2 linked regions of the Bombyx mori genome follow. Each later gene encodes a partner of the first gene's protein in a complex. Links are inferred from orthologs where the notes say so. Each region holds a gene or a part of one and is shown on either strand. Other genes may lie near its edges. The genes, in order: GPI transamidase component PIG-T and phosphatidylinositol glycan anchor biosynthesis class U protein.

What was found.
Region 2: the proteins of GPI transamidase component PIG-T (region 1) and phosphatidylinositol glycan anchor biosynthesis class U protein are in contact, whole or in part, in a cryo-EM structure (PDB 8IMX), measured with the Homo sapiens proteins. The link is inferred for Bombyx mori from reciprocal best matches to the Homo sapiens genes PIGT and PIGU. Residues at the interface, in NP_057021.2 of Homo sapiens: Tyr361, Gly362, Leu363, Gln364, Lys365, Arg394, Leu395, Tyr396, Val397, His398, Tyr416, Pro418, Ala419, Gln420, Asp421, Arg422, Gln445, Glu447, Leu450, Leu451, Lys452, Trp453, Thr454, Pro518, Thr519, Pro520, Asp521, Phe522, Ser523, Met524; in NP_536724.1 of Homo sapiens: Glu30, Lys42, Arg43, Val45, Glu46, Ser49, Leu50, Leu53, Val55, Ser59, Gly60, Ala61, Val62, Pro265, Asp266, Leu267, Pro269, Leu273, Trp275, Tyr276, Phe277, Phe278, Ala279, Glu280, Met281, Phe282, Glu283, Phe289, Phe293, Asn296.

Annotation. Positions count from the first base shown.
Region 1 is NC_085111.1:7,582,820-7,587,197, reverse strand, and holds GPI transamidase component PIG-T, read right to left. Parts: upstream 2,768-4,378; 5' UTR 2,536-2,767; coding exon 2,370-2,535; intron 2,273-2,369; coding exon 983-2,272; intron 804-982; coding exon 583-803; 3' UTR 518-582; downstream 1-517. UniProt on the Homo sapiens protein: Component of the glycosylphosphatidylinositol-anchor (GPI-anchor) transamidase (GPI-T) complex that catalyzes the formation of the linkage between a proprotein and a GPI-anchor and participates in GPI anchored protein biosynthesis.
Region 2 is NC_085111.1:9,170,753-9,175,188, forward strand, and holds the start of phosphatidylinositol glycan anchor biosynthesis class U protein, read right to left. Parts: upstream 2,859-4,436; 5' UTR 2,698-2,858; coding exon 1,934-2,697; intron 1,372-1,933; coding exon 1,100-1,371; intron 852-1,099; coding exon 598-851; 3' UTR 1-597. UniProt on the Homo sapiens protein: Component of the glycosylphosphatidylinositol-anchor (GPI-anchor) transamidase (GPI-T) complex that catalyzes the formation of the linkage between a proprotein and a GPI-anchor and participates in GPI anchored protein biosynthesis.

The sequences.
Region 1 (4,378 bases):
CCGCCGTACCGCGGAGACTGACGTCGTTGGTCGTCGACTATCGCCTCGACGACCCGTCGGTCGGGCGTCCTCGGGGTGGCGCCGCGTGTCTGGTTGTAGTGTTGACCGCGGGAACCCCTCTACTCTGAACGGGTTCTGACCCCGGACGGATTTCGGACGTCGGGTGTAAGAGTGCAGGGGAGTCGTTTAGTGGGTGGGACCTAAAACCCTTGGGCCCGCGATCTGCTCTCAACACCTGCAGATCGTTGAGTCTCACATACCCCGCGCGCCACCTAGGCGCGGGGACCTCGTAGGAGGTTCGGCCTTCTACCCGAAAGAAAAAAAAAGAAAAAAAAAAGGTGTCCATGCTTGTTATTGAGCTCCTCTGAGAGAGACTTATTTTTATTTCCTTTTTCTCACGATTTTCTTCACTCTAAGTTAATAATTAAAGTGTTCCTCCTATCAGGGCTTATTCCCTCTAGCTGAGATTCCAATTATAGGATTTTATTTATAGATATCTTATGTGAAACAGAATAAATTAATTATTAAAGCTTTTTTATTTTATTTATACAATTTATTTGGTATTGCAAATTTATGAAAATTTCACTCCTTTTTCTTTTTAAATAAATTAATAATCTTTTGTTTTAAAGTAACAGAAGAACCAACAACTTTGAGAACTAATTCTTTTGTACAAATATTATGCAGAGGTCCAAAAGCAAGGGCCACAACTGTACAAGCAAGACATATCACATTATATGGCATACTGAAGTCTGGTGTTGGTAATGATACCATCACACCATTAGTACGAAATACTGCAGGATACCCTGGAAAAAAAAAATGCAGTTAGACATTGCTGAATTGTATGAACTGATGCTGTAATGTACTTGTGGGAAAATACTAAATTGTACCAAAATCTAGGGAAGTTATATTATTGTTAGGAACACAAAACAAAAACTATTTACAATGTAGTTTAGGTCAAAATTGAATATCTATTTTTGCTTACATGGTTTTGATGCATTAATTGAAGATTCAAATAAGCTTGCAGTCCCTGGTAAACTAGTATAATTTCTTGCTGTTGGTAAATTAGCAGTTATTATTGCTGACCCAACATAAAAGCCATGATTAGCATCTGGTGGATACTCTTGCCATTTTAAGAATACGAATTCAAAATCAATAGTTATCTTAGTTGCTGACTTAGGTGGTAGCCTCAGCAGTAACTCCAAGTGATAAGGTTTTTGTCTGCTACGCCCAGGTGAATAATGCCTAGCTAACACCATCTCACTTGACGCTTCCCCGTTGATTCTTAAAGAGCTTAATTGAATAGGCAACCACCAAGGCGCATTCTGCAATACAACAACATCAATGGAGGACCAAAAAGTATTGGTCAGTTCAGTCACAATACCTCCAAATTCCTTTCCATAACCTAATACATAACGATTGAAATAAAGTGGGGGCAGTTTCATAAGAACCAAATCTTTCTTACTGATATATTTGGCTCCAATAGTAGTCATTTTGTTTTCAGGTTTAATTGTGTACAGAGCAAGTTTTGTTTCACTGCCTCCTCGCTGTGACAGTAGAACCTTTTCTGGCTCTGGAGATAGAAGGAATGGCTGGGTATCATTGGTGGTGATATCTACATACACTTTGCTACTTGATGCAAGAGGGCATCCACCAGGCAACCCTTGGCCAAATAATTTAGTAAAAGACCAATCAGTGGTTCGAATAATCTTAGAATCATAAACCAAAGCTACCGTTTGCTTTATCTCTAGGCTCACTACTGAACAATCACTAGATGAACACACTTTTCTTGTATGAACTCCAATAGAATGATAATTGGTATTGTGTATCATTCTTGAGTTTAACAATGCTGAAAGCCCTCTACTAGATTCACAAGGAAGAAGTTTCTTCCATGGTGTTAAGTTTTCTGTGCATACAATTTCTCTAGGCAGAGAAGCATAGCGTAACTGTGATGTTATATTAGGATTTTGTGGTATAGCACCGGTCGGTTGTAATGCCATTTGAGGTGTTATAGTGTTGAAATCTTCAATAAAATTTAAAGATGCACAGAACAGTCCTGCAAGGGTGGAACTTAATTTTTTCCATTGTGTATCAACATTTTCCACATCTGAGGAAAACCAAGCGTATAGTTCTGCTCCAGGAGCTGCATCAAGCACAGGATAACCCCAATGATTATGCCTCCACTGCCCCTCGGTTAGTGTGAAATGCAGTTCATCAACTTGGAATCGTGTCAACACTTCCACCAAAGACCTAGGTGCTAAATAGGTGTGCTCGGCTGGAAAACATTTTTGTAAAATAAATATCCAAAACTATGTTTATAAAAAAGCCGTCATACAAAAACATAGTTGCTAAATAGTGAGCACTGCACTTACATGACAGGTTATCATTTACTAAGGTAGTAAATTGAAAATATGTGTAAAGGTGTGCCGGTGGTAGAGGTTTAATAAATAGCTCTTCATTAAATAAATCACCATTAGCGTTAAAAATTGTCTCAATGAATACGGCAATAAAAAACAGAAAGTTTTTCGAGTTAAACATCCTGTTTAAATTTGTCTTTTAATTTGATTATACCTAACACATACATATATTGCAATTTAATTCAAAGAGCATAATTAAATTCTTATTTCTTTGCAAATCGGCTTTTAATTTTTAACTTTATCTATCTAGCTCCATAGATAATAGCAATCTAGCTTCATAGATATATATTTTTTTGGTCCAATTTTTCGTTATTAGGAAAGGCAAGGGGATCTAAGCCCATACAGTCTTGTCTGTTCTATATAATTTCTGAAATAAACTCCATAGATAATAATATTATAGGTCTACCCATGGAGTTAATAAGTACCTACAAGTAAGTACCTACCTTAGAGTAGTAACTCTATGGGTCTACCAGGATCTGATGGCGAAAAGAGAAAAAAGAAATTGACGCTAGCAATACTGGGGAAATTGGAGTAAAGCGGACTTTTTGGCGGGAACGCGAGGAATGAAGTTGTGTGATTTGTTTTATTTTGTCTATTTGGTGTTTCTTCAGGTTTAAATGTGTAATGATGGTGGTTTATTAACTGTTTAATATTTGTGAAAGTGCACAAATGTGGGAAAATGAAACAAAGTCGCTGGACGTCACTTCTCGGGATTCTCCAAAAAGTCCAACGAAAAAGTCTCAGTAAATGACCACAATTTTACTGAGATTATATTTCATCCCATATCATCTCATCTCATTATATTATTACACTACAAAAAATGGAAGATTTTGCAACGATTAAAAAACTAGTATTGCGCGTCGAAAGATTTTCCTGGTTTTTTCCCCATTCACCTCTCGATCCCTAATCACCCCATTTTACGGTATCTACTGAAAATGTCACTCATTTAATTGTTTACACTGAAGTAGGAAACCTAAGGTCTATGATTGTTTATTACGATCATTCATTGACAGTTCGGGCATAGATTATACACTTAATATATTTGAGATAGATGCGCAACTCTCATTTTTATTTTTGCTTTAGTTAGAGCCCGGGACAGCAGGCGTCGCTGCTGTCGATTATTAGTCTCCCTACCCCCCACCAGGTGGCTTTTTTAGTAATTTTAATATTTTTTATAATTAACTCTCTTTATGAAAAAATCTTATCGTTTAGAATCGCTGAAATTCCCGGTAGTACTTATGAAATATTAAAGAACGTTTGATTGTGTTCAGCATTCTAATCGATAAGACCTTTTCATACAGAGAGAAAACAGTTTTTTTAAATAAAAAGCTGTAATTCTCTGTAAGCTATTTAATTTCCCTATATTACAAACAATTTACTGTTAAAAGATAGTATGAACGTACAATTGTATAAAATTTCGAATAACAATAACTCCTCTAGATTAATCCTACTAGAGTACTTAATCGAAAGTTATCTAAAAGTTAATTAAGTCTAGATAATCAAATCATTCAATGTCACTTAAGTCATTTGTGCGAAATATAAACATGTCAGCTTTCCATTACAAACATAGTAGACAATTTGAATTAAATTTAATAAATTTGTTTCTTAACTATAGCAGTTCTTGCTTAAAGTTGATCGTGACAGATCATGACCTTGTATGAAAATATTACATCTATAAACACTACCTATGCTTCGTCATACAATAATTGTCATTTATACTAGCATTGTAGAGATAATACACACACTAAAGTGAATACTAAATTATTCTTAGCATTCTTATAAACATTTAGAAATTTAAGAAACGATTAACCCACAATCATGTTCATAACATGTGACATTTTGTTCTGCACAAACGTTTTATTACATGATTTGAAAAACAAAAAATGTTTAAAAAATGTAATGATGATTTAAAGTACTCTTAGATATTGATAGTTTGTACTTAATGACGCTTATAGTAATCTTAG
Region 2 (4,436 bases), about 1.6 Mb from region 1:
GACATTTATCTTTGTGCAAACAGTAACTAAAAATTGTAACGACAGTTTGATATGATATAACAGTCAAATACAATATTAATAACTTTAAAGCAATATCAAATATGTCTAAAAAACAAGTTGTAACGAAATGAACACATGAGCTAAAAAATATTTCTTTCTTCGACTAATAAAGTAACTATACATATTAATTATGAATATTGAATAGTACTAAGTGACAGTCAGATATAGAAAATATTTTAGCTGTACTTAAAAGATTGTATGCATTTTATCATTAATTTAGTTACAGTCATTAGTTATACAAGTCTTTGCTTCTTGTCTTATATTATAATACCCTAAAATTACTAATTTAAATGCAGAATTGAATGAATGTATACTGTCTCAACTGATCAACATACTCTATTCAACGAAATGGTGATATGGAGATGTTACTTAAGAATGAAAAAATTTTTTGGTCTTCAATATGTAATATATTACTGCACAAATGTAACATTCAGACATCTGCATAACAGTTTTTTTTTTCTGAATGCTAAAGCTACACATAAGAAGTCATTGTACAAGTTTTATGCATATTTCTGTCATTTCAGTTTACAGTTGTCATTATCGCAGAACTAATTTGGCAGGTTTTCCATCAATGGTCCTCGAAGATCCATTCTTAAGAGTATATTCTCTTTTAATATACGCAAACAATAAGTCAGTTATAAGGAATATTTGTGCTGTTGCAAAAGATAAGGTGACACCAAAGAAAAAGTTGGCATTAGCTGATCCAGAATATATCCACAAATGCCATACTGTCGGTCCCAAAGCTGAAGTAATGATGAATGCACAGGCAACAATAAATTTTTGTTGCATAACTGAAAAATATATATAAAGATTATGAGTAAACTCAGAAATTATAAAAATTCATATTTTTCTATAAATAGCTCTTATGCTTTATCTTTTTTATTAATAGCTGAATGAAGGGCAATAAAGAATAATTTAAATAAAAAATTTATTTTTTAAACTATAAGAATTAGCGATAAGAATTATATGGAAATGAAGAGTGCATCATAAATTTTAAAATATTTTTCTTCATTTTATTATCTTATATAATAGCACTTACATGTAAAAAGGTGTTTCCACATTGGTATGAATGCCATATAGAAGCCAACATCACCCACACAAGGGTAAGATCTGAATACAGTTGACAGTGCTAATAGCACAGTCACCAATAATATTGGTTCCTTCTTAAATCGCAAAGTCAATGGTACTATGTACAGTATCAGGGCGTTTATTTGGAAAGCACATACAAACAGTAATCTAAAGTGCTCAAACATTTCCGTGAAAAAGTACCAAAAAAGTCCAATATTTGGTTTTAGGTCTGGAACAGTCAATCTGGAAACATGTTAAATATGAAATTATGAGTATACATATGTTTATATAATTCGATTGACACTTTCAAAGAAATTCAAAATCAACTACTCTTCTTTTATTTTATTGCTGCACTATGTATTTACTGATTAATAGAAATTGTAGAAATCACATTGATAATGAGACTCAATTGTATAGTTTAACAGTAAGTCTTAAGGGACTGCTGGGTAAAAGCTTTACAGTACATAGCCAAAGATGGTTCTGTCTACTGGTGAAAATTCACACACAGAACTATTAATATTAATAATGTACTTTAAAGTTTCTTACAGGCTATTATTTCTATTTCATTTTGTTGTGTGAACAGTCAAAATTTTGTATTGATGACATTTTAGTTACATATTTAAATGGTAATTGTATTCATGACAACATTGAATCTTAACATAGTTCTAACATTTGATACAAGTACATTGGATGTCTTACCATTACCATACCATTATGTTACAAATACAAAGTTAATTAGTTTCTTATTCTATTATCTAGTTTAAAATAAAATTATGACTGACTAATATTAGAAGAAAGTACTTACATAAAACCATATGTATTGTAAACATAATTATAAGAACCATCCATTATAAATGCAGATATATAAACCACAAAGCTCCAACTCAAAACAAAGGCCAACAATGTTTTAATATATGAACATTTATTACATCCCTTGTTCACTTCAGCCAATATCATAGCCGTTGGTACTATCAGTAAGACAGGGTATAATGCTTGATGAGTAGCAAAGGCTAAGAACGCACAGGATATTATCACATATCCATGAGCCGCACCACAAAGTGCTGCAGCTAACAACATATTCTGCAAAACTGTTGTTGTCATCCCAACACAGTTCAATATAGAGTATGGATTAAATAAATAGACAGACAGAACATATTCAGATGTCTCTTTTAACTGACTTTCTGTCATAACCATATCCTTTGATTCCTGAGACACATCTGATAAATATTTCTCTTGACAGTTAAGGAAGATTCTGACAAAACCTCTCGAGGTTTTGTAGAGAAGATACGCAGTGAGGAGGTCCATTGCACTGAATATAAATGGTAGGCTATACGGGACATGTTTTAAAAGATAATGGAAAATCACTAACACTATCGGTGATTCGTGGAAAGCATCTCCTTCGTACGGATTAATGTTTTGGTCGTATAAATAAACACCTTCAATTAACCTCTTCCATGAATTTAAGGGAGTCGCTATTTCTACCCTATTGGATAGTGTATGCCAAAAGTCTGTATGAATAAGCCAATACCTAACTAAGCCGGCTATTACATATTTTACAACCGCACCCATTTTTTGATTAATTACTTATTAATATTTGCAATGTAAAGGACGTATGTGGTACATAATATTGACTTCGTTATATATACTACTTCAATCGTTTTAATTCGTTTTCATCCCAATTACTATCTTTTCTGACTTTTCGTTCGACATTGGAAAGGAAACAAGCCTAACTGTCATTGTCATTGTCACTGTCTTTTTTTTGAACAGAAATAGCAAAGAGTTTATATATTGTTCGAGTCTATTTTCAACCACGGACGAAAGACAACCATAAAACAAAAGTGAAAATTTATTTATTGCACCAGGGAATATGTAAGATGGTCTTGTAAAAACGTAATCCTTAGATATTTAATGGATAAATATATATTAGATAATAACATGCACTATATTATATTAGTGGACCCCACCATGTAGATTATTGTATCACCGCCATCAGGCCATAAAATCTTTATAAAAAGGAAGTCACATTCTTGTCTAATAAGCTCTGATGAACAATGCTCGCGCTCGTTTTCTTTAGCACATGATCGGTGGAAGACCTTCCCTTGCTATTTGTCACCTTAGCATCTTGATTGTAGAAATGGCGAACCCGAAAAAATTGTAGCGTTCTAAGTATAGAATTAAAGCCCCGACGTTAAGATTTTAGTTGTAACATGTATATTATGTTACGCCCTGGGGTTCGGGATAAACAAAATTTCCACCGAAGTACAAATCAAAACTATACTCAATATCTTATGGCGATGGCAGCTGTGTGTTGCCAGGTCGGTTAGGTCAGATATAATATAATAAGACATTTGGTATTTTCTCTGTATGTAATTTTGTAAGCTGCTTGTAGGTGGATCTTAATGTGTATTATAAATAACAAACAAAACTCTATTTCTCATCATATATTATTTATTTTCTCAAAATTATTAATAATTACAATAATTACTGTGTGCTATAGTGCATACTACACTAGGTAGTTTCAGCTGAAAACCTGACACTACAAAAATAAGCGACGATATAATCAGGCTAACCATAGACTCGTCTGGGCTGCGTCTGGCCATACACGAGTTTCCAGGCTATTTTTCAGAGCCATCCCATACACCAAAATTGTCCAAAAGTTGATTGACAATTTAAAAATATATATTACTAGGTTGAAAATGATTTAAGTATATCTGGCACCGCGAACCGATCAGTATGTTATCGAAACCTGCTTGAAGGATATTTTATGGCTCAAAATGCATTTTCATATCCTATTTTCATATTAACCAACCAGTTATTTCATAATTAAATTTCTAAAAACTTTTTACTATTTAAAATAGGTGTATCTTGAAATTAGGCAGTTTGTTCGACTTAAGCTGTCATATTGTCAGTAAGATGATCCCAAGGTTTAACATACTGGCAACTCAATTTGGAGACAGATTTAATTTGCTTTGAATGTTTATTGCTTCTAATTATGTTCTAATCTCTATGCCTAATAAATCAAATTTTACCCGTCATACCTATATACCTAATAAAGATACATCAACTTACTAAAAAAAACAAAATATCACAGAACTATTAATTATTTAAGGAAAATTTATGTACCGCTAGGAAATATCTGATCATAGGGTACTTTTGAGAAAATCTTATTAGCTACGTTTGTGCCAATTTTGTCCCAGTTAGATTGTGCGTATGGGAGAAGCTCGCGGTACAGCACTCTCCAATTTTGGTTCAAGAAACTCGTTCCTAGATTCGCTGCAACAAAAATTACATGATACAAAGAATAGCTA